Linked DNA regions of Astyanax mexicanus. The protein of the gene in region 1 interacts with the protein of each later gene in a pairwise test. Links are inferred from orthologs where the notes say so. Each region holds a gene or a part of one and is shown in the gene's direction. Other genes may lie near its edges. The genes, in order: ptn, dnajb11, ubqln4 and chd3.

The links.
Region 2: the proteins of ptn (region 1) and dnajb11 interact in a two-hybrid assay, tested with the Homo sapiens proteins (2 studies listed by BioGRID and IntAct). The link is inferred for Astyanax mexicanus from reciprocal best matches to the Homo sapiens genes PTN and DNAJB11.
Region 3: the proteins of ptn (region 1) and ubqln4 interact in a two-hybrid assay, tested with the Homo sapiens proteins (2 studies listed by BioGRID and IntAct). The link is inferred for Astyanax mexicanus from reciprocal best matches to the Homo sapiens genes PTN and UBQLN4.
Region 4: the proteins of ptn (region 1) and chd3 interact in a two-hybrid assay, tested with the Homo sapiens proteins (2 studies listed by BioGRID and IntAct). The link is inferred for Astyanax mexicanus from reciprocal best matches to the Homo sapiens genes PTN and CHD3.

The regions. Positions count from the first base shown.
Region 1 is NC_064409.1:45,675,188-45,683,699, reverse strand, and holds the start of ptn (pleiotrophin), read left to right. Parts: upstream 1-4,943; 5' UTR 4,944-5,143; intron 5,144-8,512.
Region 2 is NC_064418.1:3,062,243-3,070,613, forward strand, and holds the start of dnajb11 (dnaJ homolog subfamily B member 11), read left to right. Parts: upstream 1-4,908; 5' UTR 4,909-4,990; coding exon 4,991-5,064; intron 5,065-5,518; coding exon 5,519-5,675; intron 5,676-6,640; coding exon 6,641-6,738; intron 6,739-7,035; coding exon 7,036-7,168; intron 7,169-7,632; coding exon 7,633-7,775; intron 7,776-7,875; coding exon 7,876-7,958; intron 7,959-8,077; coding exon 8,078-8,135; intron 8,136-8,371. Other genes in the region: rabl3 (rab-like protein 3), read right to left, coding at 117-155, 1,223-1,294, 1,470-1,620, 2,333-2,447, 2,689-2,818, 3,423-3,514, 3,766-3,811. UniProt on the Homo sapiens protein: As a co-chaperone for HSPA5 it is required for proper folding, trafficking or degradation of proteins.
Region 3 is NC_064408.1:115,871,497-115,880,115, forward strand, and holds the start of ubqln4 (ubiquilin-4), read left to right. Parts: upstream 1-4,894; 5' UTR 4,895-4,928; coding exon 4,929-5,075; intron 5,076-8,619. UniProt on the Homo sapiens protein: Regulator of protein degradation that mediates the proteasomal targeting of misfolded, mislocalized or accumulated proteins.
Region 4 is NC_064415.1:23,862,600-23,870,373, forward strand, and holds the start of chd3 (chromodomain-helicase-DNA-binding protein 3), read left to right. Parts: upstream 1-4,236; 5' UTR 4,237-4,608; coding exon 4,609-4,774; intron 4,775-6,837; exon of another isoform or gene 6,838-7,412; coding exon of another isoform or gene 7,413-7,462; intron 7,463-7,564; coding exon of another isoform or gene 7,565-7,584; coding exon 7,585-7,727; intron 7,728-7,774. Other genes in the region: cytochrome b5 domain-containing protein 1, read left to right, coding at 607-825, 2,742-2,972.

The DNA.
Region 1 (8,512 bases):
TCTCGCCGCCTCCTGATGTCGCAGGGCTGTTAGCCAGAGCCGATAAGTTTGCATGTATGAATGTTCACTAGCAAGAAACAAAAAATCCTATATAAAAAGTGTGGGAAAAATAATTTTGTGTCTTATGGTGAAGTACACTTTTTGATGGTTAATTTCTGCCACCCCTGCTGCAAGAAAAAAACTGTGTATTCTGAACATACTTGTGTGCTAATGAATGTTCTTCTCTTTCAGCATAATCAAAGACTGATAATTTAAGTAATAGCTTTGTTTTTGATGTCAAAGGAAAATTGGATCTAGTTGTGTTATGGGTGTTTTTCATCTGTCCAGATAACTCTCCACCTGTCTGTCTAAAAGAAGCAAAAGAACGTGTTCTACACGGTTTCTATACCCGTTTAGTGCACAAGTCACTGCGTATAGACATAATTTGCAATTTCCAATGAAGCTGCCAAACTCATGAGTGTGAAATCAACAACAAAGGCCTCATTTTACCACAAAAAAGAAGCCTTTGTATAAAAGAAACAGACTGCATTCCAAATGTAGGAGAGAATTTCTAAAGCAAGAACATTAATCTTGATCAAAGCAGGTGCAGCAGTAAACAGTGACTAATGTTGCATCAAGTTATAGAACGTTTCCAGATAAATAATCTGTTTTATATGAGACACAGTAAGAAGGATGCTTATAAACAGCAATGAGATGCTTGATGTATTTGTTAGCATCGTTTATGGGGAATGACTATTAAATACAGCTGTGCATGTTTACAACTGAACCTCTAAAGAGACAGAAAAAATGTATTTTCTAGATCTTTACCCAGACTGAACGATACAGGCTGTCAGAGCAGTAAAGCTGACACTTTTGCAATCTGTTACACAATGGATGACAAAATGACTGTAAAATTAGGCTTTGCCTAGCAGAGGTAATATGATTTATTAGACAGTTGCTACCTTACACCCTGTCAGCAGTCTATTTTCTGGCCTTACGTCCACGCTGTTAAACTAGCATTGGAGTTGTTGAATAAATCTACACTGATGGGCGTGGTGGTCTGGAAGTGAGGTGTGTTCAGATATATTTCTGGTGGTCTGGGAAATACAGGCGCGCCACTGACCGATTAAAACACTGACAACAGTCAACAGCCCTGCAGCTATGCAGTGTACACCCCCACTCCTTACACACACATACACATCAACAATAAATAGAATAAAGTATAAAATAACATTGCTGTTCCAGTAAATGAGCTGCTGGCGCACCTTCTCAGTGTGTACAAGCAGGTCAGGCCCTGCGCTATTAAGATATCAATACGCCAAAGTCAGAGCGCCAATACATTTTTAAGTACTTTTCCATAACTTCTAGGAAAATGTTCATGACCATACGATCCTTAAAACATCTGTGCAGACATGGACAATAAAACCAAAAAACAACTTATCAACTATAATCCAAATTGATTACAGTCCTAAAACTAAGCTGATGTATTTTTTTTCGCTCAAAATAGCCTTTCTCCGTCAATAAATTGAATCACAAAGATTTGTAGAGCAAATTTCTATTACTTTTCCCAAACTTTCTGGGTATTTTTAATTTTCCAAAATGTATTCAGGCCTGAAAATTGCTGTTTTGAAATTCCATGACTTGTCCAGGTTTTTCTTGACCGTACGAACCCTGTACACTCTACTCAACTGTAAGAGAAGCCAAAATCGAGAAATATCCAATTGCTGCTTTAACAATAATATTTGAACAGGCTACAACAATATTAATTAGAAATCTATAATAAGTTTGAAAGCAGTGACAACATATAAACAGCTCATGAATTAAACAAAAAACAGTAATTATGTAACATTAACCAAACTCAATCAGCAATATGCCTTTAAATAGACATAGAAAACTTGCTGTTTATGGAAACTATATCTAATTTTAGTTTATTTTTTTAACAGCATAGAGTTGTGACATAGATTTTTAAATTATATTTGAAGGTTAAGAGTATGTCTGAGTTCCAAACTGTGACATGATTGTTGTTCGTAGTTAGGGAGCTATGAAAAATGGCCAGTGTTTTGTGAGCTAAGTGAATGTGATGGGTTGTTTCAAAAGAAAGCAAATTTAATAATCATCGGATAAGAAAACAGGAGTAGTGTGGTCATTGTCTGTGGATAAAGTTGTGATGAGCAATATATCACCTGCATTCTGAACCGTCTGGAGCCTGTTTAACGATTCACATGAGCATCTAGCCAGCAAAACATTTCAGTAGTCCAGCCTTGAGGTTATTAATGCATGCAGCAGCCTCTTGGCATCTTTTGGATAAAGCGCATTTCAGAGTTTGGCAATATTTCTTACAAGAAGACATTTTATATTTATTTATTTCACCCCATTTTCTCCCTAATTTGGAGAGCCAATTACCCAGTTTTCATTCATATTAATTACCCCTAAAAATAGGAGGACACATGTGAAGTCAGTTACTGTCTTCTTTTTTTTAACTGCCACTGATGCAGCATCACTGTGTAACAAAGAGGAGGCAGGATGCAAGCGCAAGTCGGTTTTACTTTCAATATTAGAAAGAGTAAACAAAGAACAAAACACTATGGAATAATATAAATAAAAGGTAACTAAAACAAAACACTGTGAAACAGAGGACAAACTAAAAGACTGAAACAAACAAGCAAAAATAGCAAACAATGAAACAAACTATACAAAGCAAACCTGGAAAAACTGAAGAGAAAAAACACAGCAGGTATGAGGCTAAACAAAACAGATAAACAAGATCCGGACAGAGTAACAGGAAACGGTCAAACAAAAAGCACGACAGAAAACAAAGGAGCACATGAGGTATTTATATACAGGCACACACTAGGGTCACCTGTTGTGAGGTAAAGAGGGGTGGAGTTACAAATGAGACAGGAGGGGTTACAGATGACAAGGCGGGGCTAAGGCGGAGACAAGACCAAACACAACAGTAGCACATGGCTGGGAAACATAACAGGTAAACAATAGAGAACAGGACAGGAGCAGGAAGGAACCAAAACAAAGAAAAAAGACACTGGACAGACACAGGCTAAGGTGTGACACACTGAGTAGCTTAAAGGACACTTAAAGGAAAGCGCAGCAACACATCTCTGATACATCAGTTAACAGATGCCCGTGCTGACCAACATCACATTAGTAGTAAAGTGGGGAGAGTGTGTCATTTACTCACCAAAGAGAGCATGGCCAAACTGGCTGCTGATGAAAAGCAAAATGATGTGAAGACTATCACTTTACCACATCATAATTAATTTGCATAAAGTTAAGCAAGAGAAAGTCTTGCTTAATTGCCTTTGTCACTTTGTTGCTGCTTGTTACCATGTTACTGCTACAAATCACGTCCTCCAATAGGAAATGCATGGTCGCCTGTCACTCTGTTGCCTGACAGTGTGAATGCAGAGTTAGTCTTCTGGACCGTTTGCAAGAAGCCCCAGAAGTCCAGAAGAAGACAACTTTGGACATGATGCATATAATCAGCTAAATAGTTATCGTCGCTAGGAACGGCCATAGGTAATGTTTACCGTTACTTGTTTTAGGACATAAGAAATCACTCAACATATAATCACATTTGTAGTTAAATTGAGTCAATATAGAGTCTAAATTTTGGTTTCTGACATATGATCGACATACCTGTCATGAGCTAGTAATCAGATACATTCATATAAAAAAGGTTGGGCACCCCTATTAATCTTTATCATTTTTACTTCTAAATATTTGGGTGTTTGCAACAGCGGTTTCAGTTTGATATATCTAATAACTGATGGACACAGTAATATTTCAGGATTGAAATGAGGAAGAACTGTGCATGTGATATACCATTTCCTTACTATGTTCTTCACAGTGGAAACTGACAGGTTAAATCTCTGAGACAACTTTTTATATCCTTCCCCTGAACAACTATGTTGAACAATCTTTGTTTTTAGATCATTTGAGAGTTGTTTTGATGAGCCCATGACGCCACTCTTCAGAGGAGGTTCAAATAGGAGAACAACTTGCAATTGGCCACCTTAAATACCTTTTCTCATGATTGGATACACCTGGCTATGAAGTTCAAAGCTCAATGAGGTTACCAAACCAATGTTGTGCTTTAGGAAGTCAGTAAAAAGTATTTAGGAGTATTCGAATCAATAAAATGATAAGGGTGCCCATACTTTTGCACCGGTCAAATTTTGGTTTAATGCATATTGCACATTTTCTGTTAGTACAATAAACCTCATTTCAATCCTGAAATATTACTAAATATTAAATATTAATAATATGTGTCCATCAGTTATTAGATATATCAAACTGAAATGGCTGTTGCAAACACCCAAATATTTAGAACTAAAAATGATTAAGATTAATAGGGGTACCCAAACTTTTTCATATGACTGTACAACACGTCACACAGATTTTCTACAATACACAGCTCTAGTTAGCTCTGCTGATGACAGTGCTTGAATTTTGCATGTTCCCTTAATATGTGATGACACATCCTGATCATTTAGTACTAAAAATATAATCTTTATTGGTCCTTTAATCCTACATACTTTAATACTAAGACTCAGCACTTCTATAGCAAGTAAATATTTCTCCAGAACTTTGGGAGTTTACTCTTTTTTTTTTTTAAAGAGTGAATGCTTGTTGCAGTTTACAAGGAAAGAACAGCTGGTCCTTTTCATTTACCAGTTTATTCAGACTATCCATCTTTCTGACTGACAGCCATCCACAGCACAATTCTCTCTCTCTCTCTCTCTCTCTCTCTCTTGCTCTTACTCTCCAGCTTGCTCTCGCTCTCTCTCTCTCCCTCCCTCTGTTTCTCTCGTCCCAGGGGTGACCTTGTGTTAATGAGGGTGTGATCATGGGGCTGAGAGCAGCTCTTTCAGCACGCCCTCCCTGGCACAGGCATAACCCAAGTACAACAACAACCCCCCCCCCCACCTCTTCTACACCCCAACACACACACACTCCCTCACTCACTCACACACAGACACCATTAGCACAACCCTGTGGCTCAGAGAGCGTGAGTTTACCACAGACAGTGAGAGTGAATGTGTAAGAGAAGGCACAGTGACAAAGAGCCAAAAACACAATCAGCGCAAAAAAGTGGATGAGAAGAGCCGGTCAGGACTGCTTTGAGTGCTGAAACACCAAACTAGAAGTAAGTACCACGTAAGAGAGATTTTAGAAGAATGGGATGGAGAAGTGTTGAGAGAGAAAGAGAGAGAGAGAGAGAGAGAGAGAGGTAGATGGATGGGGTGAGGAGAGACCGGGGAGAGACAGCAGGTTCAGCGCAGAGCCTGAGGGAAGAGGCTGTGTACTCTGAATGTATCACTTCGTGTCATGTGTGAGCACGGAGGAGACAGGCAGAGAACTTTCAGAGGGAGATTTGTGGTCAGAGAGAATTTCCATGCTTTGCGCGAGTGTGTGAGGGCGCGAGTGTGTTTGAGGGCTCGACAGGGTGTCCTACAAGTGTCTCCTCAGCACTGGTCAAGCAGCTAGCGTAGTCCACAGATGAAGTGAGGGTCACTGTGAGCGCTCAAGGCCTGCTCCGTATGTCACGCCGATGATGTGACAAGACTGAGAGATAATGTGCTAGTCTTTATTGTTGTTACAAATGATATATGTCAAGAGTAAAGACAAAATAGTGTGATATATTGTAACATATTGTGATTCTAATAGATTTGGCACACTGTTGATTAATATTGTGTTAGTGGATCGGTTATATGTTTTTTGGGTAATTATGTTATTTTTTAACCATAATCCAAACCTTTTGTTAAATAACATCAGTACATGGTTAAGAACATCAGCAGATATATTTATCTAGTACTATGACAGGTCTGTCACAATACCAGGGATTTGGTGTTTCAAATTGAAATTCTGACACAATATAATAATAAATCAATTAAATTAATGTATGCAGTATATTATAGCAGGAGTAACAACACCTTAAGTTGGGCACAAATGGAGACAAGTTTACTCAGGAAGTATACCACAATGGTTAAAAACATAATAAAGTACTAAACTCTTTTTGTTTCTGAGATGCAAAAATCTTCACTAGTTACTTCTTCCAATCTGAAGAGGGAGTCATTTTTGAGAAGCAACTTCGTCTCTGAAATCTCTGGTGTACTTGTCTGATTTTTTTGCATAGCAAACTTCTGGGGTCTCTTGGGTGTGAGTGTTTGGAGTCTCTGGGGTGTAAGTTTGAGTCAAGTCTATTATCTCAGGGGAATAGGGGTGCAAGTGAGTTAAGTCTATGGAGTCTGTGTTGAGTCTTAAGTCTTTGGGGTGTGAATCTGAGCCAAGCCTCTAGGGTGTGAGTCTAAGTTGAGTCTATGGGGTGCAAGTCTGAGTTGAGTCTCTGTGGTGAGAGTCTAGGTCAACTCTCTGACGTGAGAGTCTGAGTTGAGTCGCCGGGCTGCAAGTCTGAGTTGAGTCTATGGGGTGCGAGTCTAAGTCGACCCTCCGAGGTGCAAGTCTGAGTTGAGTCTCTAGGGTGCGAGTCTTAGTTGAGTCTCTGTGATGAGAGTCTAGGTCGACTCTCCGAGGTGCAAGTCTGAGTTGAGTCTCTGTGGTGAGAGTCTAGGTTGACTCTTTAAGGTGCGAGTCTGAGTTGAGTCTATGGGGTGTGAGTCTGAGTCGACTCTCTGAGGTGCAAGTCTGAGTTGAGTCTCTGGGGTGCAAGTCTGGGATGAGTCTCTGAGGTGCAAGTCTGAGTTGAGTCTCCGAGGTGAAAGTCTGAGTTGAGTCTTTGGGGTGCAAGTCTGTGTTGTGTCTTTTGGGGTGCGAGTCTAGGTCGACTCTCCGAGGTGCAAGTCTGAGTTGAGTCTATGGGGTGCGAGTCTAGGTCGACTCTCCGAGGTGCAATTCAGAGTTTAGTCTATTGATTGCGAGTCTGAATTGAGCATTGTTAAAAGTTTTTACGTTAGTCAGTAGATTTGTATGGAAATACAGATCTAGTATGCATCTCAAATTTAGCAGTCTTCAGTCTCTACCAGTTAGCTAATTAGCTAGATAACGACTCGTTTACAGACAGAGCAAGCCTGTCTCTCTTTCTGAGTCTGAGACACAACAAAAACACAAAAGAGAAGGTGGAAGGGTTCCCTTAGAGGGAACATGCAGTTTGGACATTGAGTGGGAGATTAGAACAGCACTCAATTTCGTCCTTTTCATTTTTTTTTGGCATGTATTGAAGAGCAAATTGCATTTCCCTTGAATAGAAGGTGTCTAGCAGTGCCTAGCTACATATTTTTAAGGCGTTTATTTTTCTTACTCTCTCTTTTTTTCATTTCAGAAAGTTTCTTTTTTAAAACAGGCTTAACATTCTGTAGTTTAATGTGGTGGTTGAGCTTTTATTCATAGCCAGTGTAGATTTGTTTATTTCTTGCCTGAGGAACCCGCAATGAGTTATATGAATATAAGGGCAATAAAATGTGTCTCACCTTCCTCTTTATCACGAAGCCCCTCATAGTATATGCAGACCTGATTCTCCTCTTTTTTAACCTGTGGAGAATATTGTAGTTTACTGGAACAGCACTGCGCTTCATGTGCAAATACTTATTTGCATTTTTATATCTGTGTGACTAGATGTGTATGTTTGCTTGCAGTGTGCAGAGCAGTTCGTTCCTATGTTGCATTGAGCATGTGTGTGTTGGAAGGCTATAAAGTGGGTCGTTCCTGACTGGAATTGGAATGGAAGGGATACCAAGTTGAGCTGCTGCTCCTGTAAAGGAAGAGAGAGAGAGAGGGAGAGAGAAAGGGCCTCAATACTCCTGCTGTTGCCATAGTTATTTTCAGTTCGGCCACAGTCACTCCAGCCAGACCAAACTCTGCTTCATTCCTCCGCACACAAAAGCCGCAGCGGTGAGGCCTACTCTGAAAGGGAGCCGCTTCATTTCTTTGCCATCAACACATGGTGAGCATTTAATGAAAGAGAGATTAACCAGCAAAGGCCCATCCGGAAGACTGGCCTCAGATCAGCTTAGAGTCAGGATTACTGCCAGCGGAAGTTCAGGTGCTCTGAGAGAAGCTGGGAAGTCAGTGGGAAGTGTGTTAAAGGGCTTCACATTTCCCAACTGGTATTTTTGTTTAGTTTTGGATCTAAATTGGTGCTTTTTGGACCAATTGGTGCATGCAGAAGTACTGACAATAGAAAAAGACTCGGAGTGGAGCCCAACCTCAGTTGCAATGTTCATTAACATCATTCTGAACACATTTCGCTTATTTAAACAACTCCAAACTGTAGTTAAAAATATCAATTTTAACACTCTATTTAATAAAAATAAACCCAAACTCGGGCTGGATCTGGCCAAGATTTCCCACTACTTTCCTAGGGCTCTGTGAAGTCAGGCTCTAGAAATTGGTCTATGATGTAGGGCTACGTTTTTGCTAATGTGCTATAATGCTATTTTGTATTTGTATATATAAAGCTGTGGCATGATAATCACAAAAAAAGTTAAAATTTTATAATCACACAGCTCTGACCTGTGCAGTCAACATGCGTGATCTTCTCCACTCGACCACATTATAC
Region 2 (8,371 bases), on another chromosome or scaffold:
ACGTTGTTGAAATGAGTAAAAAAAAGAGTTGAAGTGCTGCATTTGTGACCACAGTTTGCACAGGCCATGCAGCATCAAAGCCACAATCAGAACTATAAACAGGGTGGTTTTCTCACCTGGCTGGGGTCTCTGGTGAAGTATCTCTTCTCGATAACCTTTTAATCAGAAAGATAAAAGAACAAAATCAACCAAACCTTCACTTCTGAAGAAGTGAAAGAGAATTGACCACAAGGGTTTTTCATCATAATCTGCTAAAAGATCTACTAAATCTGCCGAATGTGGTCAAGTTCCTATTATTACTCATTTCTAAGAAATGTCTACACAACAGAATCTTTCACTCTACATAGCTGCACCTCCCCAACTACTTCTATTATAAGAGTTCTGAGAAGATATTTGCCTGTAAGCTACAGATGTATAAAAAAATCATAATACAATTTATAATTATTCAGCATTAAGCATTAAATACAGTTTAATACAGAAAAAGTATGTAAACCCTTTGGCATTACCTTAGAGATCTGCATAGCCTAGGGGTTCACATACTTTTCCCCCCCCCACTCACTGTGAATGTTAAAATGTTGCGTCAATAAAACCATGCAAACATATATATATATATATATATATATATATATATATATATATATATATATATATATATATATATATATATATATATATATATTTTTTTTTTTTTGTGTGTGGTTTTAGTTTAAGCAGACAATGTTTGTCTATTGTTGTGACTTAGATGAAAATCAGAACACATTTAATGACCAATGTATGCAAAAATCCGAGTATTCACAAAGGGTTTACATATTTTTTTTCTTGCATCTGTATATTTATTGCTAGTATCAGCTCATTAAACAACATTCTGCCGATCAATTCTTCAAATTTAGAAAAAAATTGAATATATGGACAAAAGTATTGGGACACCTGGTCAATCACTGGTCAATCTCTTCTGAAATTAGGGTGAATAAAAGGAGTTAATACTGTTTATACTGAAGTAACTGTCACTACTAATGTTAGGCTTGGTGCTGCTAAAAGGTTCACATTCATCTGCAAACAACCACTGCAACTATGGTAGATTATATTCCAGTACATACTAATATTATGAAGCATTAGAAGAAGTAAAGAGAATAAACAGTAAAGATGTTTGATTATTAATTAGTTTGATAAATAAATTAAAATCCAAAGCTGTTTTCTATGTATCTATATAGAAGTATCTTACTTTGTCAAAAAATCTGCTCAGTTTCACAGCATTAGATGAGCCAGCAGCAAAATAACGTGGATTTGTGGAGTCCTAAAGGTATAAATAGAAGAAAAAAAACAGTATCATTAATAGATAATCAGAAATTACTATTCAAATAGAGATGAAAGTGTAAGAAATACATTTTATTATTCTTTTTTTACAAGGTAGAACATTTTACATTGTGAAGAGCTAATTAACATAATTCTTATACATTATAATCACATACCAGGTTGATCTCCTCTGCGTTGAAGTCTTCAGACAGGAAGGCGGTGCGGGTCAGAACATCACTGCGCTTGTTTTCAGGTATCTGATCATATTTGGTGCCGATAATCAGGAGAGGAATGGGGTTCTCTGCAAACTGCTCTCTGTCATAATCCCTGTGTGATCACATAATAAATAAATAAAACAAGGCATAACATTTATTCTTAGGTAATCATCCTGCAGTATTTTTCTCTAAAGTGTGGATTTTTGCATCAAAACAGGCCCAAACTCAGTCCTTCTTAACTACCCTTCAGAACGGTGCCATGTACATGGCAGAGGGAGTGGGGGAGAAACCAAACACAGATTAAATGAAATCAAGTGTTGAGCATGACTTACTACACCTTATATCAGATTACAAAGTGTAACGTAGGTGTTATAAAATGGCCAGTTAGTATACTAAGTGTTTTAAACCACAGCGGCACATGTTGTGTTTGATACACTTAACACTTACTACACCACCACCAAATATCACATGGTCAATGGGGGCATAAGATGTAAGTATTAAGTAAATATCTAATAAAATTACAGAACAGTGCAGTCACTGTCACGCGATTTTACTAGATTTAAGACAAAGCAAATTGAAACTGTCATTTTTAAATGTTAAAAGTAATTTTGGATTATTTCTCTGTGTCCATACATTACAAAGAATTATGTAACAAAGTGAAGGGAACTAAAACACTGCCACATCATGCTTCTAAATGTGCACTAAAACTTCTACATTAGAATTTCTGTTCCCAGACATGTTATACATACATTACAAGCCTAAACACTGAGTTATTCACACAGATAATCATTTCAGCCTTTACACCTAAACTGATAGTGTCTTACCCATTGGACACGATCACCCCTGTAGGCGACGAGTCTTTGTTTAGTGCCTCCATCGACCAGCGATACAGGTTCTGGGAGGATTTCTTATTGGTCAGGTCATGGACTAGAATTATGCCTGAGGAAAAAAAAAACGACATTCCCATATTTTACCAGCGATATTAAAGAATACAGGCATTTTCACTAGAGGTGGCCACAACTCAATGACCCAACATGACACAATATTACTAACAATACACAATGTATATCCAGTAAGTAATAAAGTAAAGTAAAGTAATAAAGAAAACATTAAATGAGAAGAGGTGCATCCAAAATGTTGTATATCTGCACTCTCCAGTGCTTCATTTTTGTTACTTTACCATTAACTGAATTGTAGAAAACCGCTCTGGTACTTTTGACACTACTGGCACTTCCAACTGAACCTCCAACATCCCACAGTTCAATGTAATAGGTCTTCTCCTCTGGCGTGCCCTCTTTATAGTCGTGAACCTGCAGGGTGAGGTTAGTATAAATTTAATCTGTATGATCAATTTTAAATCAGTATTTTCTAACTGTGGAAAAAATTAAGAGACCACTTCAATTTCTAAATTAGTTTCTCTGATTTGGCTATTTTTAGGTTTATGTTTAAGTAAAATGAACATTGTTGTTTTATTCTATAAACTACACACAACATTTCTCCCAAATTCCAAATGAAAATATTGTTATTTAGAGCATTTATTTACAGAAAATGAGAAATGGCTGAAATAAAAAAAAAGATGCTGAGCTTTCAGACCTCAAATAATGCAAAGAAAAAAGTTAATATTCATAAAGTTTTAAGAGTTCAGAAATCCATATTTCTGAATATCAATATGTCAGGTTCTCCTCCACCAGTCTTACACACTGCTTTTGGAGAACTTTATGCTGCTTTACTCCTGGTGCAAAAATTCAAGCAGTTCTGTTTGGTTTGATCTTGTGCCCATCCATCTTCCTCTTGATTATATTCCAGAGGTTTTCAATTTGATAAAAATCAAAGAAACTCTAATTTTTAACTAATTTTTAAGTGATCTCATTATTTTTTATGAGCTGTATAAGTTAACCAAGTTGTCAACCTTACCCTGACGTCCACAGAGCAGCCTACTGTCCATGAAGGATTTCCCAGCACTTGATTTTGACACACCAGATGAACTAAAGAAGATTTCCCAACGCCTATAACCAAACAGTAAGATTAAAGCCGATGTAAATTGGCGAATAAACAATTAATTAAACATTTTAACTCCCTGCCAGAGCTAGCTAAACATTAGCTAGGTTGGCTTGTCAACCTGCAAGTGTTTACTCAGTGCTAGCTTAAAGTATCACTAGAGCAGTTTAAAAGAGCCGACAGATTAAAAACAAGACATAAAACACGGCGTGAATCATATATAAACAATTATAGTGTAACATTAACAGCTGTGTCTCACCAGAATCTCCCAACACCAGCACTTTTACTCTGTCCAGAGAAGCCATTATTAGCTAGCGTTAGCTAACCTTACCTAGCTACTGTCTGTCACTAGCGACGCCGAGAAAGCACACAGCACTACTTCCTGTTAGAAAATCAGGCAAAATAAAAGTCGAATTACCTCAGCATAAGATAAAAAAAAATATTAATTCCACTAATACTAACTTTATTTATTTATTACTTTGCAAACATAACCCAGAGTGCAGCTCAAATTGCAAACAAATGTTACCTTTCATTTTGAAAAAAAAGAAATAAAAGAAAACGTTAAATAAAATAAACATATTTTATTTAAAATAAACAGTTCAAAATTTTTTTTTATTTTTATTTTTTTAACTTAATGTTAATAATCTACTTGTTATTAGAATACTTACGAATATTTTTACTGTGACGTATATCTTGATAAAAAAAAAACACTGGAATATAATCAAGAGGAAGATCACAACTGAACTGCTTGACTTTTTTTTCTTTTCAGCAGGAGTGGCACAACATCACCCAAAAGCTGTGTGAAAAACAGGTGGAGGAGAACATGCAAAGATGATTAAAAATAAGGGTTATTCCACCAAATATTGATTGATTTCTGAACTGTTTCTGAGTTAAAACATTAGTAATATTGTATTTTTATACATATGACCTTGATTTTTTTTTTCATTGTTTGAGATTGTACGAAACTACTGCATATTTTCTGTTGTTTTGCAAATAAATGTTCTAAACGACAATATTGAAATGTTATCAGTTGTTTATACAATAAAAGAACAATATTCATGTTACTTAAAGATATAGTTAGGAATTGTCAAATCAGAGAAACTTATCATTTTTTAATTTCATTGAATTTCATGTCATTCTTTTTATTTTTTCTTTACCGGAGCTTTATTTATAATTATTTTGAAATGTTCTTGGAGACTTTGATTTTTCTATTTTATTATATTTTTTACTTCATAGTAATAATCAAATTGTTATGAAAATAGCGTTATATAGCTAGTATTATATATATACTTTCTGTGTAATTGCATATTTAAACCGTTAATTTGAAATGCCTGGCCTTTAAGGGACTTTTATTTTTTCTTTCTTTGCAGCCGGTAAGAAAATTGGGGGCGTGTCTTTCTCCTAGAACAGGAAGCGGTCACTGCACTACACAACACACAGAAAGCCGGTGTGTTTTACTGCGCTTCGGGATTAAAGCGAGACCTATGGCCGCGGGAGGGATGAAACTATCGAGTATATGCTGTCTGCTCTTATATTTAGTAGCGACAGTACTGGCTGGGTAGGTGGCAGCGCTGTTTTCTCTGTGTATTTAGTTTCTCCGCTGTGTGAAGCGGGTCTCTGGGCTGGTACACATGTTCTTCTGTGATTGGTCTGCGCCGCTCCACTCTCTGGAGCTACATGTGTGCTGTAGTGGAGGGCTATCAAATGTACCTATTTAACTACGCAGAGGGACGTTTGTCTTGATTTAAGAATAAAATAAATAACCTTAATGCTGTAGCTGTATTTAGATTATCGTTAGGTATTTGGAGAGGTTACATATAAAACTGATAACCTAGATAAGATACACCATCTGTATTTAGCCATTGTCTCTCATTCTTTCAAATTTCTTAGATTTTCTTTTTTTACTGGATAGAAGTCACAATGATCGCCTTATAATTAAAATTATACAGCTAGCTTATTATATAACCTAAATTCCTAATCACACTTTTGTTGCAAATATTTTATCCATTCAGGAGGGATTTCTACAAGATTCTTGGGGTTAGCAAATCAGCATCTATCAAAGACATCAAGAAAGCCTACAGAAAGTTGGCACTTCAGCTTCATCCTGACCGAAACCCTGATGACCCCAGTGCCCAGGACAAATTTGCAGATCTCGGAGCTGCTTATGAGGTGTGTTGTTGGTCTCTGTTTCTATTTCCACACACAGCTGAAAAGCTGGAAGTGTGATTTTTAATATAAATTATACTGTTTATTATTATTTATTAGCTTAATATAAAGTTCTTCAAATTTGAGCAGCTAAACATGTGTATATATATATAAAAAATTTTTTTATTTGTTTGTTTGTTTGTGTGTCACTGTAATATAATATCCAAGGCTTTAGCTGTATGTATGACAGGCATCATTTCAGTGTTGGGGAAACCACGGATGAATCTGATTGGTGGAGTGAAATGTGTGGCTACGTCTGATTGGTCAAAAGTCAGCTGACTGGTAGTATTGAAAACACGACGTGGAGCTGCTCTGGCGGTAGATTAGTTAACAGTTGCAGTTTTCTCAGGCGCTTTTGATTCATTTTTCAGATAAAAATAAGGTTCTCAAAACTAAAAAAAAAAGCACAGGAAGTAATAAATGGTTGTGTTGGTAGATTATTCCTATTATTTCTTTGTTTTAATCATGCTTCATGAAAATAAATCCAAATATACTAATATGCTCTCAAATACATTAACCCCTGTTTTCTTCTATCTTCTGTGTTTTTGCGCTTTTTTGCACAAATTGAGATATGTTCTCTATCAGAATAGACATTTGTCAAACAATCAAACAGCAGATTAGCACCGCCCACAAAAATAGACAGCACAATACAGTGTTACAGTTTCTGACAATTTCTGTATCGCAGTGACACGGCTAATCAAATTACAGTACAAATAATACAGCATAATTTTTAACTGTGTACAGACAGTAAGCCTTTTTCTTGCTCAGCACTGATCTCTCCAATCATTAAAGGAACATCAGAAGGCAATTAAACTAATCAGGAACAGATTGAAACCAGATTAGGTTAAAGCCACTGTCCTCTTTATTGTCTTGATGAATTATTATATTCTGATACCACTTAATGAATGACTTGTGTAATCTGAACTCAGGTGCTGTCAGACGAGGAGAAAAGGAAACAGTATGATGCCTATGGAGAGGAGGGTCTGAAGGAAGGTCATCATAGCTCGCATGGTGATATCTTTTCCAGGTAAGTGTCCAAGCAATATTATATTATTAAAGGGGTGACATTTTTTAAATTCCCTTTTATTTTAGTACATGCGGTTAAACTGCACATGTATTTATTGTGTAACAGAAAGTTAGAGACCTACCTGGCTGTTCTAGACAGCTTTAGGAAGAGCTCAGCTATAGTACTTTTTTTTTTAATGAGGATATAGTGTATGTGTTCATACAGTTGTCCAGTAGTATTACACTGCACTTTTTTGCCCCCACTGTCACTATGTATATGACTATCATGACACTCACATTTCTTCTATGTTTGTTGCAGCTTCTTTGGGGACTTTGGGTTTATGTTTGGAGGAAACAGGCAGCAGCAGGACCGGAACATCCCAAGAGGAAATGACATTATCCTGGACCTGGAAGTTACACTGGAGGAGGTTTATTCTGGAAATTTTGTTGAGGTAAGATAACCACTAATTCTCTGGTCTTAATAATTCCATAACTCCTTAATAAAGTGTTTTATATAAATATGTTTTATATAAATATGTTTTAAATTAAATCGTATTCTTATTTGAGCTGTGCAAAACATCACAGTAATCTGTTATTTACCACCATATTACCACCATATATATTTCACTGATTAGTTACAGACTACAGCTACTCGATGCTTACCATTATGTGCCAATTTGGCAACCCGCATGAGTTTCACATCTGGGGAGGAGTGGGTAGGGCAGAAATCTCTACCCAGTGTTTGGAAATTGGACTTCTGTAACAATTTTACACACTCACTTGCATTTATAACTGATTTTTCCTTTAATACATTTCGTGTCATATCCTCTGGTTCAGCATGGGAAGGATGCTGTTCTTCCTTGTTTCTTATTGTCACATATTTCCTCTCTTCACATTTCCCTCTTTTACTATGTAGGTAGTGCGAAACAAGCCAATTGCTAAAGAGGCACCAGGAAAAAGGAAATGCAACTGTCGCCAGGAAATGAGAACTACACAGCTCGGGCCAGGCCGCTTCCAGATGACCCAGGAAGTAGTCTGTGATGAATGCCCAAACATTAAGTAAGTTCTGCTTCCACTTTCCTCAAATAATAATGATGTAACTTGCTAATAGATGATAAATGGTGCGCACATGTTTACAGTGTGTTTTTACTCTTTGCAGGCTTGTGAATGAAGAGAGGACACTAGAGGTGGAGATTGAGCAGGGAGTCAGAGATGAGATGGAATATCCCTTCATTGGTGAAGGTATTTTAACCGCAGTGAAACTAATGATTTTATTATACAAAGTTCTAGAATGCAGGTATTGGTATGTGGTTAAAAATATATCTGAGAACAGCAATATATGTTTGGTCATTTGTGTGCAGGGGAGCCACACATTGACGGAGAGCCTGGAGATCTCCGCTTCCGTATCAAAGTCTTAAAGTAAGGATTGGTTATTTCAGTTAATTTTTTTATGATAATGACTGGATCAATTTATTACTAGCAACTATTGAAACATTCCATGTCAGTGAAAACTGAATTTAAATAGAATCATTTATGCCTTTTGGGCTCACTAGGTTTGTATGTAGTTTGGATTGCACTGTATTGCATGCATGAGTGTGGGGTTTCCTGCATTGAATAGGGATCAGATTTTTTTGCTAGAGGGGGTTGTCTGTACC
Region 3 (8,619 bases), on another chromosome or scaffold:
TTTTATTTAAAAATGTATTTAACTTTTATGTATTTTGTCAATACCTGTTTACTGTAAACTGTGATATAACTAAATTGCACCAAATTAAATTTTAATTAAATACTTAAAAACTCCTGCTATATTAATAGTTAAGTTATCTATGTATTCCAAAAAAATGAATTTACTTAGTTCTGATAGTATTATTCTTTATTAATATTGCATATTTTCCTCTTAAGTCACCTAAACAGCTTCTACCCATAGACGTCTGGGGGTTTTCTTAGTACCAAGACTGAAAAATGGACTTTTGTGCTTGGACTGAAATAACCTTACAAGAACAAACTCAGTAGAACACAAGAACACAAGAACGGATGACCAATATATGCAGTGCACTTGCTATTTTAGGATATTAAATAATACTCTACACTCTCAGGTTAGTCACTATTATTAAAATATTACCATGCTAAGGCTAGCAAAATAGAAGAATAAAATTTACCCATTTTTTACCCATTTCCAACATTTTTCTTTTTTGAAAGCAGAACTAATAGCACCATTTGTTTAAAATAAAATAAATAAAATGTTTGATAACTGCTGCTAATCATATGTAGACATAAACAGAGAAAGTAATCAAGTAATCAAAAAGCTGACAGTTAGTACTTTTTATTCAAAAATATATTTAACTTTTATTTATTTTCTTAATACCTGTATACTGCAAACAGTGGTAGAAATAAACTGCACCAAACTGAACATCTTACATTTCTTAAATTCCAAATAATTTAAGAAAAAACAACTCCTGCTATTTTATTAACCCTTGTGTGGTGTTCGGGTCTGTGGGACCCGTTTTCATTTTTCATCAAATGATACTAAAAAATATTTTTTCTAACTCAAACTCATTGGCATTGGCTCATTTTTTGTGAAAAACATATATCAAAACACATTTTCGATAAACACACACTGTCCCCCCCCTACACATTTATATTACATACAGTCTGTTTGGCCAAGGGCTAATAAACATTGCTTCATTTGTAAATTTGAAACTAAACAAATTTTCTACTCATATCTTGAGTTTAATTCATTTTCTTTTACATTTTATTAAACTAATAAAAAAGATTAGCACTTTTTGAAAGAAATGTAACATAAGAAAGGTAAAGGGCAAATATTAACCATGTAAGCTGTTTATATTGCTTGCAATTTAGGTGAAGCGAGCATGTGTAAAGCATTTTAATTGCTTAATTTTGCTGAATTAAATACAAGTAACAAAGTAAACGAGTAACAAAAATATGAACACCACACAAGGGTTAAAGTTATCTATGTAATCCAAAATTAGAATTAGCTTTTTTGAATTGGTTTATTCTTTATTAATATGGCATAGTTTCCTCTTAAGTTACCTAAACAACTTCTACCCATAGACGTCTGGGTTTTTTCTTATTACAAAATTGAAAAATGTACTTTTGTTCTTGGACTGAAATCACCTTACAAGAACAAACTCAGTAGAACACAAGAATATAGGACCAATATATGCAGTGCACTTGCTATTTAAGGATATTAAATAATACTCTACACTCTCAGGTTATTGAAATATTGTCCTTGGTTTTTAAGACAGAGCAATAACACATCTGGGAATTTTCTTGATAAATGCATTCTTGAGTAATCTCAAGATTAAGTTCATCTGTAGTTATGAAACAGTCCAGCTTCTTAATAAAAGCAATATCTCAGAGTTTCGTGTAAGATATTTGTGTAAACCTTCCTCCAGAACAGTAAGACCCGTCTACACACGCCACACTGGAACACTCTCTCTCTCTATTTCTCTCCTTCCCCTCTCTCTTTCTCTCTCTAATTCTCTCTCTCTCTCTTTCTTCTTCTTCCTGTCTTGTTCTCTCTCTCTCTATTTCTCTCCCTGTCTCTCATCCTCTCTCTCCTTCCCCCCTTCTCCCAGTCTCTTTTTTCTTTCCTTTCTTCTTACTCACTCACTCTTTCTCTCACTCTCCCTCACTCACTCTCCCTGCCACTCTAAAATTGTATTGGTGGTCTGGAAGTGAGGTGTGTTCAGATCAATTTCTGGCATATTTCCCAACTTTTACATCAACAAAAAACTAAATACTATTAAAATAATTAATAATAATAACAACATTGCTGTTTCTGTAAATGATCTGCTCATACATCTGTACAGCGTGAACAAACAAGTCAGTTTTCTCTGCTGAAAAGCGCAGAAGCGCTGGTATAAAATACCAATCCGCCAAACTCAGAGCGCACCTGGCTCTTAAAGGGAATGGCGAGTGACACAATGATTGGTTTATTTACAGTATGCCCTTTGCACTTTTTAACCCTTTGAACCCTATGGACGAATTTTCCTTCCAAAATCGCACCTTGTGTTCTCAGCTTAATTACTCAGGAATCCCTTCACACATTAACATAATCCATATATGATTAGAAAGGGAAGAACTTACTCTTTCTAAAAATAGTGATCACATCCCAGTACTTACTGTAGCATCTACAAAAAACCCATTGAGAAAAACACATAATAAAGTGGGATCTCCTGCCCCAACCACTATTATTTACCTTTAGTGCTTCAAACACATTTATATGATGTTTCAAACCAAATAAATAAAGACTCAAAAGTGTCCACAAAAAAAGTGTGAAACTACCTGCTTTACTCAAACTAAAGCTAGGTATGGTGTGCGCACTACTTTATATAGTTTTTATTTTACTTGCACATTTTTATTAAGTAGTTATTTTGCACTAAACATTTTTATTTATTTAGACTGAAAAGTTACATTTTTGTATCTAGTTTTCTTTGTGTGTCCTGATTAAAATACTGAAAGGCATAGTCTGCTCTGAGTGTCAGGTTTTTAGTATCTACATGTATCCTAGAGGTGTGATTATTGATTATCAAGATAAATAAATCCACCTGATGCTGTTTCTCCATGTATTTTGTTAAAGTAATAAATAATAAGCTATGTAATGAACTTTCATCAATATTCTTATTATTTTAACTCATAAACACTCTAGTCTAACAGTTTTTGAAAAGATATCTCAGGTGTAAATATATTTTAAAGTCTATAGATTCAAAAATAAGTTAAAAAAAAAAAAAAACAGGCACTTGGTAAAATTTTGACCAAAACATGATCAGTTCCCTTTTACATTTTAAATGATTATATTTTTGAGCAGTCGTATGTCTTCTGGAGTAAAAGAGATCAGGGCATGTGACTGTCTGATATAATTACTGTGTTATAAGACCTGAGTTCATAGGGTTAGATAGAAACAGCCTAGGGTTCAAATGGTTAGACAGACAGACAGACAGACAGATAGATAGTTTTGGAACTTTTGGCCATCCAGCAGCAGATATACACAATACACAACAGTTAGTAAGGAAGGATAAAATAAAACAATACTATGAAATATAAAGTATAAGTACAGTAGTGTGTAATGGAGGTAGTGCAGTTGAACACATTAGACAATGAACACCAGTTGATGTGCATATTATGAGGGTAACTGATGCCAGCCATACAAAAGGTGCAAATACATAGTTATATAATAATTTAAATTTGCAGTGCAAAAACTACTAGTGCAAAATGAATCTGCACAGAACTTTACTGTAGCTGAAAAAGACTTGGTCAGGTCCAGCATCCTTCCTACATTTCTACCTTAGCAAAATCTGACCTCATGCTGCCTACAGTAAAGAGATGGTGCTATGGTACTGGTGAGTGGAAAGGTGAATGGTGTACTGGTACCATCTACAGGGCAGAGTGGGCAATGTTCTTAAGTAAACTGATCCCCTTATACTGAATCTAATAAATATCAGCATGAGCCTTCTTTTACCCATTATAGAAAAAAAAAAACATATAAAACAGAACTATTTGTTCCTGATGTGCTTCAACTGTTTTAAATTCATTTAAAAAGTGTACAAAGACCATTACAACCATTATAATTAAAATCTTGTTGCTTTCAGAATGGTGTATTTAATGCGTGAACGTATTCTGTATTTATTTATTTATTTTAGTTCCATCAAACATTGTTTGACACCCAATTTCAGGCCAATATAGGCCCAATATTAATAATTGGTTGACACCCAACATCGGGCCAACATAGGCCCAATATTAAACATCGGTTGGCACCCACCATCAGGCCAACATAGGCCCAATATTAAACACCAATTGACAACCAAAGTATAGGTCCAGTGTCAAATAGCGGTTTGCATCCAACATCAGGCCAACATACGCTTAACGCCAAAAATTGCCAAAGTAACCAAAGTCAATATCAGTAAATTTACCCATAGTACATGTAATTCGTTATTTTTTTCATATTTTGTCACAAAGTGTATTAATGTAATATTAATGCAGTTTCTCTGATTTTGCTATTTATAGGTATATGTTTGAGTAAAAATAACATTGTGGTTTAATTTTATTTATTTTTATAAACTACGGACAATATTTCTCCCAGATTCCAAATAAATTTGCTTTTATTTGCAGAAAATAAGAAATGGCTGAAATAACAAAAAAGATGCAGAGCTTTCAGACCTCAAATAATGCAAATAAAACGAGTTTATAGTCATAAAGTTTTAAGAGTATAGAAATCAATATTTGGTGGAATAACCCTTGTTTTTAATAAAAGTTTTTCATGCATCTTGGCATGTTCTCCTCCACCAGTCTTGCACACTGCTTTTGAATAGCTTTATGCCTTTACTCCTGATGCAAAAATTCAAGCAGTTCATCTTGTTTTGATGGCTTGTGATCATCCGTCTTCCTCTGAATTATATTCAGAGAAACTCTTTAAGTTTTTAAGTGGTCTCTTATTTTTTCTAGAGATGTATATGTGTGTGTGCGTGTGTGTGTGTAAAAGTGTGACTGGGCGCGCGCGGCTCCGCGTGGGGGCGCTGTTTCCGGTCCGCTCTTGTCGCTGCTCTCGCGGCTCTTCTCGCGGTGACGTGATGAAGTGAAGAGAGCAGAGAAAAGATGGCGGAGAACAGCGGCGCGGACCCCGCCGTGGAGGGAAAATCCGAGGAGAATGCGGCGACCGGCGGCACCATCATCATGGTCACCGTCAAAACGCCCAAGGACAAGGAGGAGATCGCCATATCCGAGGACGCGTCCGTCTCACAGGTAACCCGGGCCGCCGCCGCCGCTCCGTGTGTTCGTGTACATGTAGCTGTGTGTGTGCGGGTGTGTAGCTGTGTGTGTGAGAGCGGCTCAGTCAGCTGTCCGACATGAATCGGCTGATCCAGAATCAGCGGCGATCAGTTCAGCGCTGCTTTTCGGGCTGAAACCGTCTGTGTAACTCACATTTGAACACACAGCTTTAATGTTACACTCCTTATTAACTGGTGTGTGCGGGTTTTGAGTGGGTAGTGCGGATTTAACGCAGCATTTATGAGGAAAATGAAGAGGAGAAAGTCGGCCTGGCTCTCAGTTCATACCTGGTGTTCCGTCGAGTTCTGCTAGCCGTCGAATTTGTGCAGCTCAAGCGTTCTGCGCATGCGCGGACGAATTGTTCTTTAGACATATGACGTGTTTTTCGTGATGATTCTGTTTTTAAATCATTTTAAACTTCATTTCTATCCACCCCATTCAGTTTGTAACTGTTTTATTTAGGTTTATTTACATTTTAGTTTATTTAGTTTATTATTTATGTTCGTTATTTTTTATTTTATACTTTGTTGTAGCTTTTGTCATTGTATTTTTACATTTTGTTTCATTTTATTTTCCGTTTTGCCTTTTAGACTATTCCATTATCATTTGTTTTGTTTTTATTTGTTGATTTTAATGTCCAGTCTTCATTTGATTTTATGTATTTTATTTTATTTACACTTAACATCACCTTCCTTTTATTGTTTTTAGCTACTTAAGAAAATTTTGTATCTGTTTTATCTAGATTAAGAAGCTATATATATTTTTTTTACAATTTGTCCTCTTAATAGGATTTTCTGAGAAATATTTTAGCATTTTGAAACATTATAACCCATAGCATATACTATACTTATATTCACGATTTTAATTAAAATCATTTTAAACTTGTCCTCCACTCAGCTTGTAGCTGTTTTTGTTTTTTTATTTTAACTTTTCATTTTCACTTTTTATTTCATAGTTCATTTTAGCTAGGTAGCCTCATTGTACTTTTTTTTTGACAGATTTTATATTTTTCTCTTTTAATTTTCTTTTACGTTTTGTATTGTCTTTTTATAATGTCTTAGTAATAAGTCTTTATTTGATTTTATATATTGTATATAGTTTGCACTTTTCTATCCTTTTATTGTTAATTAGCTTATTATTTTCCTCCGGGCTTTTAGCTACTTAAGATTCTTTTTAGATTGAGAACCTATATACATTTCTCTTTTTCCCGCTTAAAAGGAATTTGTAATATGCTTATTTTACCCTTTTTGAGTATTATAACCCATATTAAAGACTGTTTTATTTATTTATAGCGGTTACACAGCCTTATCTATAGTAAGGTGTACATTGTAACTAGACGGTGGTAGCAGGTTTCGAAAGGGTAGCACAAATCGACAGGACACCCGGCTAGCTTCTATGGCGGCAGCGCGTAGCTAGTTAGCTATTCCTTCCTACTGAAACAACCTCTTTTTGTGCGTGTAAAGGTTTTAATCGCTACTTTAACCCTTTATTATCAGTTTAACGCGATTAAACACGGCAGGTTTGCTTCATAAGTGCTCGTTTTGTCTCTCTGGAGAGGGTAGCGGCTGTTCTGCGCACTGTCTGAGGCGACGGCAGATCGAGCTCGGTTGGCTACCGCTAAGTAAGCTAGGCTGTTAGCATTAGCTTAATATTAGCTGAGTTAGCCTAGCCGTTAGCTTAGCTACGGAAGGTTCTAGCCCTACAACTCAGCTGCTAATTTTTACTTAGTCATTTCCCCTGTTTTAGAGGGTTTTATTCACCTATAGTGTCCAAAAGGAGGCGAATTAGGCCTGAATTCACTATATGAACACTGATGTTTCACTCAAACGCAGCTAGTTAGCGATATAAACACGGTTTTAGCCGGTTAACCTGCTAATTGTTGATAATGGGGATTTAATTAACAGTGATGGTTAGCTAGCTAGTTAGGTTGGTTACTAATGTTTTAATGTGGATTTAAAGCAGATTAATGAGCTGGTAATACATTTTGTAGGTCTATATCTTTAATAAACATCAGGTTCAATCTGTCTATTTAAACTCGAAATACATTGAGGGTTTCACTCATTTACAATGTAGCCAAGCCAGTACACAGGTAAGGGACTGTCAAAGAAAAAGAATGAATAAATAAATAAAGACCCAGAATTTTAATAAGATTTTAAAATTACATCTCAAACAAATGAGATAATAAGAATAAGAAATTAGTTGGAATTATAAATTTACAGGTTAAAGGTAATAAAAATGTAAGGTATGCAGTTACAGATGAATGAATGAACAAATACATAAACTTGATTAAAATAAACCCTTGTGTTTCTCTCGAGGAGCAGGAGAGAACCAGCCAACTTTTCATACACTATTTTTTATTCAGTTTTTTGCTTTATTTTGTCAGCTTGCTAAAATGTCCATCCCTGTGCAGATGAGAGATTCCCTGTGTTAGATATTAGTAGTTTGTTTTATTATTTTATCTGGACCCTCTCTTTTATTTTCCTACAGGTCCAATAGACATGGCATACGTACCAAATATAAATCGTATGTCATAATTAAACTACGTATATAAAAATCTATACAAATAAATAAATAAGGAAAATAGAAAAACAACTACAACATATAGTTGTTTACAAAATGTGGACGAAAAAAAAAGGGGTAATGTTTGATATTCACAGTACATGTTAATAGTATACTGTTTGTGGATTTACTGGTATTTTGTCTATGCTGTAATTTGATAGTGGCCAATAACTGATTAGTTATTGGTTACATTTGTAGTGTTTTTTTTATGCTCAGTACATCTTAGTACGTCTTATGAATTGTAAAAAGAAATGAAGTTTTATTTATAAAGTTTTAATACATAATACACCGTCTCTGTTTTTACCGGTGTTCTGGGTACGTATTAATTTGATTATGCTGTTTGATAATTTGGTGTTTTTGTTTATGAAAGCTATCTTAATCTGCTGTTTATTGAACATTGTATCATATGTTTACACAATCTTTGTGTACACTGAGGTAACTTTCTGTTTGATTTTAAATGAATGAAAAAATGTTAGCCCTTTATGAGTCATTATTTATATTGTGTTAAATTTAAGATTGATACGTTTGATTGCTTTACTCAGAGTAGATTAAATAATCAAAGAATATGAGGTTACCTGTATACCTGATTGTATAGACAAATTTAAGTGTTTAAGCTCTAATGTTGAGTGAAAACTGAAGATTAATCCTCTATTTACTGATTCAATAATTTCCTGGATCTGACTGGCTTTGTTGGTTATTTATATATTTTGTTATTTAGAATTATTATTTTATAGATTACAGATTATATAGATTATTTGTGTATTCACTGTAGTTTTACAGGTGTGTGTTTAAATGTTCATTTGATTAATTGTTTATGCTTTGTTGTATGTAATTTTTAGAGGCTTGTTCCTTATTTATTTGCTCAAACCAATCACAAATGAAGGTTTATGCTTTTTTTTATTCTTGCTTAAACAGACATTTTGTCCTAGCAAATAATGTTTTCTTATTGTGTAAAATC
Region 4 (7,774 bases), on another chromosome or scaffold:
TAATAATAGTAATAATATTAATAATAATAATAATATGTCAAAATAGTAGAATACAAATAAGATATACATATTTCATGTAAGTAAAATAAGTATATTCTTTTATGTTTACTCTATTTTTAGAGTAATAACCATTCAGTTTTATGTAGAATATGTAATTTCAATATTTTTTACCTATTACCTATTATACAAACTGCATAAAATCTGCAAAAATCTATAATTAAAACGTGACCTGTTCTCAGGGATGTCCATCCTCTGCAGAAAACGTGGAAAGCACAGAAATATGTCAGTTTGTAATATTGTTATTGTATATAAAATGTTGACGTTAGACCAACAGTATAATTAATTATGTGTCAAAGATTTATTATATTAAGTTAATCTTTATTTTTAATTTCTAAAAATCTGTTGAAAATTCTTAGCATTTTGTTTTAGACTGTTTGGAATCTTGATTACTGAGTATTTTAGCATATTTATTAAGGCACAAAATAATAAAACAATGTCAGCTCTGGTCATATTTTAAATGGCTTAAATTGTTTAAAATAACACCAGAATTGACTGGACATCAGTAGACACAAGTAGAGTGATTTTATTTTATGTCTTCTTGCTCAGATTCGTACCCACATCGATCCATTATCGTGTTGTGTGAAATACTTCACCCCTAGAGGGCGCTTTTTGCATGTGCCCCCTCCCTGCCCTAGCACTGATTGGGCTAATGATTTCGGAAGGCCGTGGTGGAGGGACAGCCGCTATGAGGTGGGCCTGCTTTCTGCCAAGACCCGCTGGATTCGCATTATCAACACCCTCACGTCCCAGGAGCAGAGCCTGGAGGTAGGCCACACTGAACACATGGCAAAAGTGTTACAGGATACAAGGTGTATTCACAAATTTATGATGCCAGAGAATGTGTGTTTCTCTATTAAACATGCATTGCCTTTTAATAATCCCAATGGCCAAGTATGGACTATCCAGCGATGAACCAAAACGATATGGCAACATGCCTAATGTGCTGTTGGTGCTCTGCGTGCCAGCAAAACAGCTCATTCTACCAGACCTCTGAAGGTGCCCTGTGTTATTTGGCAATAAAACAGCAGATGCTTTAGGCCCTGGAAGTTGTTAGGTAGAGCTGCTACAGATCAGATTTGTTGTTCCAGTTTATCCCGCATGTGAGCATACCTGCTTTCCCCATGTTATAAAAGAAAGCAAGATTTGTCAGACCAGTAAATGTTGTTTCATTCAGTATCAGTATCTCACTGATGTGGTGGTGTGTTATGCTGGCACAAGTGAATCAGGCAAAGCAGTGAGTTTTTAAACAGTGTGTCCACACAATATTTACTCTATTAGACATAATCAAAGACGGATTCTCGTCTGTTGCTGCACAGTTTGTGTTGGTCACCCTCTAGTCCTTCATCAATGGTCACAGGACATTGCCCACAGGAAGCTCTTCAAAGGATAATGTTGGTAGACTATTCTCAGTACAGCAGTGACACTGGAGTGTTTAAAAACTTCAGCAGCACCGCTGTGTCTGTTCCACTCGTGCCAGTACAACACACACTACCTTTGAAAAACAGAGTAGAAGGAGGATAATAAAGTATGCAGTGAAACAGATTAACTACTGTCTGTAAATATAGAACAACAGAGTGCTCAGTGGAGCTGAAAAAATGGATTATGGTTGCAAAAACTGGAATGATCATAATGTTATGCCTGATCACTATCTATTGTTGTTCCAGTCACACCAACAAGGTTACATTTGATTCCAGTAGCTTGGTGCTTTTTCTGTTAGTGAGTGTACAGAAAATCATCACAGCGTCACATCATTATCTTTATCTCGCTATTCAGATGTGCAATTTCTGATTTGTACAATGCAAACCGATTTAACCCTTTAAAGACTATTGGAATTGGGTGCTGAAAATGCCTATATTTGGGATACTTCACAAATAAATTATTTTATATTTAATATATACTGAAAAAAGGTACTTTGGAGAAAGTCTTCCCATAATTTAAAGGATGTGATATGTCTACAAACTGTTGGACATGTAGTGTACTGTATGTGCATGGTTAAAAATAAATACGTGTCTGTAACTTTCCTTTTGTCAGGAAGGTTTGTTGCACTGTGCTCCCGCATGCTGAAGAGGGCAGGATTGGTCTATTCTTTCTTGTTACTTTTTCTGACCCCCCCCCCTTCCTTTTTTTTCTTTTGCCTTGCTCATTTCACCCTCCCCTTGCAGTCTGCATCTGATTCTCCTTCTTGACAAAGGGAAATGTTACTGATGTTATGCCTCTGGTAATGTAAGTGGTCCAAGACTGGGCTTGTGCTTCAGCTGTGCAGTCCAATGGCCACCACGTTCACTGCAGGGTGGGCAAGCTCACTCCTGCTACATGACCCATCTGGCATCGGGCTATTCTGCATGGTCCAAAGGCTTAACAGAGCATTCCTATTGTCTTTCTCTTTTGCTCCCCCAGCCACCCCATTCTGTACTCTCCCTCCGCTTCCCCCCTCCCTCTCCAGTGGTTCTTGGCAGTGCACCACTATTGGATCAAACTGACATAAATTCCTTTCCTCTCTTTTAGCAGATCCAGGAGGCTTTGCTTATATAATTCATATATGTGGAGGAATTTGGGTGAATGTATTTTACTTAAAGGGAAAAAAAAGCTTTACTTGTGTGTGTTAACCATGTGTGTTAACCATGTATATTAGGAATATTACTAGTAACTGAAAGTTTTTTTTCTCTTTGTTCTCTGGCCAGGTGTGTTCTGAGGAAACACTAGATGAGATCCTGCAGCGATACCTGCGCTACAACTCCCATGCGGCCAGCTACACCTGGAAGCATGACGGTGTCATTTTAGATATTAGTAAGACCCTAGAAGAAAATGGCATCCCAGATGAAGATGAGGAATTCTACAAGTGTCGCATGGATTGTGACCTCTACACTCAGTCCATATGCCTGTACTTCAACGATGACCTTACTGAACTTTGACCTGATCGCAATTTTACATTATATGAACTTCTCATTATCCCCATCATATGATGTAACTGCATTACAGTAAAGCATTACAAGAGTGTTCGATGTATGGTTAATTGTTGACCCCATTATTTTGTATTTGGCCCAGATAAACCCCATCATTCAAAGTAGAACCGTAATAGTGCCGTAACCTCACCTTAATAACAGTGGCTGGCAGTTGCTATAGTGAATGTTCATGTAAAATTCAGTAGCTTGCGCTTTAGAACATTCATATGTAGTGTTGCAACAGGGGTTCTTTGACTTTCTTTGCCCCTTTTTATATAGAACTATAAAGAAACATATTAAAAATGTAAGCTAATAAAATCATCTGCAAATTTGATTTTATTTTTTTTACACGTGAAGAACCATTTAACTTGGCAAAAACAATTTAGGCATACTAATTACATGCATTACATTTCATGGTGCATTTTTCAAACTGAGCCACTGACATAACATTTAATTAGAGCTAAGGTTATCATTTACTCCCAGGTTAATTACATACCATTGAGAGTGAAAATTACTTGTTGATATTCAGGGTCAACACAGATGATTTTCTTTTTTTTTTTGGACAAAGGGGAAACTGTGTTGTCTGGAGGTATTTTCAAGTAATTATTGCTTTGCACAGTTACACTTGAGTTCAGTCAGTGAAATTTAACAGCATGCAAGTTTCTTTTGGACACTGGGGTAAATTTTGTTCTACTGTACTTGTACTGTTTTGATTCCTTGAAAAAAATCACACAGAAAGGGATGTTTTTACAGGTCTTTTAATCGTCCATTTTCTAAGGGGAATGAATAAGTGTTTGACTCCCTCCATCCGCGCCTTAAATGGTTAATTTTTAAGCAACACAATCTGATGTAAATCTGGGCATGGCTGCGGCACAGCTTCCCAACCCCCCCGTCCGTTCTTTCCAGCCTGCAGCCAGACGAGACCGCGGCGCAAAGCCTTTCACTCCAGAATATTTTTTTATACATCGGCGGGGCCCTTTAAGACTATTAAGGTAGCCATGTTTGTTAGATTTGCGAGGCTCTCTGCAGTGCAGAAGGAGTGTTAAGGCGAGAGTGAACGCTGGCGTCCGCGTGCACTCGCAACAGTATGCAACACACACGCGTGCGCGCGCACAGACACGCACAGAGTTAGGTTAGCTGCCAGGCAAGTATTAGAGAGAGAGAGAGAGAGACAGACAGACCGAGGGAAAACAAAAACACTCAGAGCAAATGACGAGTTAATAAAATACAACAACTTAGTCTCAGCTCTACATACACCCCCTTTCTGCTGCTGGAACAATACTGAGAATGTTTTTTAGAGGAGGGAGGGGAGACGAGAGAGAGTGAGACAGAGAGAGAGAGTGCGAGAGAGAAAGGAGGAGGAGGGGGGGCGTTCTGAAATAATATAGTCAGCCATTTTTTATGTAAGGGGATTTTTCTTATTGGGGGGGTTGTTAAAAAATAAATATAAGGGCGGCCATCTTTGTTTCTCTGCCTTGTAGTGTAAAATATTCCAAAACGCCCCCCACTTTTTTCCCTGTGTGTCGATTTGAATATTCAATAAATATCATAATTCGGGAGGAATCCACTTTTTGATCTCGAGGACGGGGTCGCTGACAGGCATATAATGTCCTCTCCTCTCCGTTCTTGTGAGGAAGATGAGGGCATGGCGGTTAATTCCGAGGGAGGAGATTTTGATGAAGAAGAAGAAGACGACGGGGACCTGGACGAGAACGCAAGCGACATAAACTCGCCGGCGGCGCCTCGAGAAACTGCAGCCCTCGCCGCGCCAGGTACCGTGCAGACACGGGGGAGCTAGGGAGCGAGCGAGCGCGCGGCGGAGGAGAAAGTGAGGAAACGTAGCTACGGCGTTATATAGCGGGAAAAAGTGTGTGTGTGACCCGTAACACGGGGGGACAACAACATCTGCACTGCTAGCTAGGTTCAGTAAGTTAGCCTGCTTCGGCATAGCCCACTCGCTCACTGCGTTTCTGTGCTAAATAAAGCGTAGCCTCTAGATAAACCCCGTGGAGTTTAGTTAGTTTAACTAAACTTTCCCAGTGTCCCCATCGCTGTCCCGTTGGGCCATTCAGCACTTGCTCCGGCTAACACCAATTTCTATTGCCAAATAATGTGCATTGTCTTCTTAACCTAGCTTATGGCTGAACGTTTTTAATGATTCCTCGCTGTAAGGTTTTGCAAAAACTGCCTGAGGTTATGTCTACTACGCACGACTGCCCCAGACCTCGAATGGCGAGTGCATTATAGGTAGTAGCTATAGCTATCTTAACTAACTAGAGGGGTTGCAGAAGAGTGCAGAGCGCTGGACTACCGGTTGATTGAGACAGTGGTCAGTGTTGTGACAGACTGTAAATAAACTTGACCCGACCCACTGTCACTCTGACTGCCACAGTTCAGGGCAGGACAGACCTCCCTTTTAAGATAACTAAGCTTAGCTAGGTTAACCAACTAGCTAACGTAGCTAACTAACTAGGTAGCTAATCTAGGTGGTTCATGGAGAGTACAGTGGCTCACAGTTTATGTATTAACTTGTCATTAGCACTAACAACACTCAAACAACACAAATCCACATGAGAAAATGTATACATAGGTGGTTTTATAGTTGGCAATGTTTGTATACTTAGCTATTCAAGACAACACAATAGCTATGATGGTACACTCACTGCACATAACCTATCCATAGATCATAAAGATGTAGCTAATAAGTATGAGTAATAGTTAGACATAACAAGGAACCATATATTAAGCAGTGCTGTCTACATTCATATGATATAGCTAGTTAGCTAGGTTAGGTTAGCTATGTGTGTTTATATTATTTCACACTATTACGAAATACTGCTCGTAACTATAGATTTTATCTATAAGTTACATATATAGCTAGCTATGTCTAATATTTGGATACCAATAAGAGTTTGGCATGTGCCTTAGCCCCATACTAAGATGACCTGTTTACATGCAGATGCGTTTCTAAATCAAAACAAAAGTCTGGGCACACTTTATGGTGGCGCAATGCATATCCTCATTACACTGTTGTGTGATAACTGGTCGCCGTGCATGCATGGATGCACGCATGTGTGGATGTGTTGATTGCACTCATTGGGGCCTTTTTTCAGTTGTGCAAAAAAATAAAATAAACATAGAAAGGGGTCTCGCAGTCGCGCAGGGTGCAAAGATGCGCGCGAATCAATTAACGTTACCCCTCGTTCCCCCCTCGCGCCCTTTGCATCCCCTCTAGTGACTCCCACCAGCAGCCCGCAGCTCCTCTCCGCCCCGCTCCCAGGTGAAGAGGCCCCGCGGCAGCAGGAGGGCAGGCGCAGTTTCCTCGCGCTTTGCGTCGCGTGGCTCGCGGACGCGGCCTCTCGATCACCGAGACCCGCGTGCGCGCTGCTGCCGCCTCTGGCTGCGCGAGGCCAGCCGGGCGCGAGAAAAAAAGCTCGCTCGCTCGCCCGCCCGCTGCGTCCTAGCAACAAAGGCGGACCAGAACAGGAGAACTAATTTTACTGAGTGCAATGGCAACCGATTAGCTTGTTTTTTTGCCTCACAGGACCGAAAACCCCTAACCAGACAGCGCGTATCTGTCCTTATACTGTATCATGACCGCAGAAAGGGTTTTATTTGTTAAGTATGGTTGTGAGAGCCCATTCATGCCGCTTAACAATTTTAAAATAATTATTTTGGTACTAATTCGTTATTTTGGCATTCTAAGTCGTTATTAAGGGATAGTAAGTTGTTATTTTGGGATTCTAAGTGGTTATTTGGGGATAGTCGTTATTTTAGGATTCTAAGTAATTTTTTGAGAAACCAAGACGTTATTACTGAGTCTTTATTAGGGGATACTAAGTTGTTATTTCGGGATTCTAAGCCGTTTTTTGGGGATAGTCGTTATTTTAGGATTCTAAGTCATTATTTGAGGAAACTAAGTAGTTATTTGGGGATTCTAAGTCGTTATTTGGGGATTCTTATTTTGATCTTATTATTTTAAGATGCTAGGTAACATTTTTAAGGCGGTATCTTATTGATTTGATGGACTTGGTGTCTTTTTTAAAAGATACTTTTAACATTTCATATTCATATTAAGGTGATATGCACAGTAAGCTAGCTATAGCTCGTTAAACTACATCTCTGTAAGTTCTCTTAATCCGGGACATTTTTTTGTCTCATTTTTTAACTTTCAGGCAAAAGGCTAAACAGCTATAGCTAGCTATAGCTCCTGAGTGATACCTTGTACATAAGACAACAATTACAAGTGTAGTAAGCATACTCAATCACTTTTTGGAGCACCTGTAATTTGGCTCTTGAGAGCAGTCAGCCCAGAAACATGGCTTTGCTCTTAAGTTTAACTCTTGTAGGTCAAAGGTTGAATTGTCAGGGAAGGGATCTCTTCTTCAGCTCTACCCTCCACCCCCTGCGATGCTCCCAAGTGTCAACCCATTGTTCAGTCTAATTGCATTGGGAAGTGATTATGAGGATAATATTCAGCTTTTGTAAAGGATTAGTGTCAGTTCTGTTTAGTCACCACCTCTCTTATATGCCAACCCCCCCCCCCCCCACACACACACACTTTCTCTGTCGCCTCTTTCAGATGACGTTGAGGATGAGGGGAGGACCCCTGATAGGGACAGTCTGGGGAAGAAGAAGCGTGGTCCCAAGAAAAAGAAAGAGACTAAGAAGAAAGAAAAAGACAAAGAGGGCAAGACCCCCAAAGCACGCAAGCGCAAAAAAATAGTAGGTTTCCAGTGGCACAGCCTGTATCCAATTTTTTTATGTGTTCT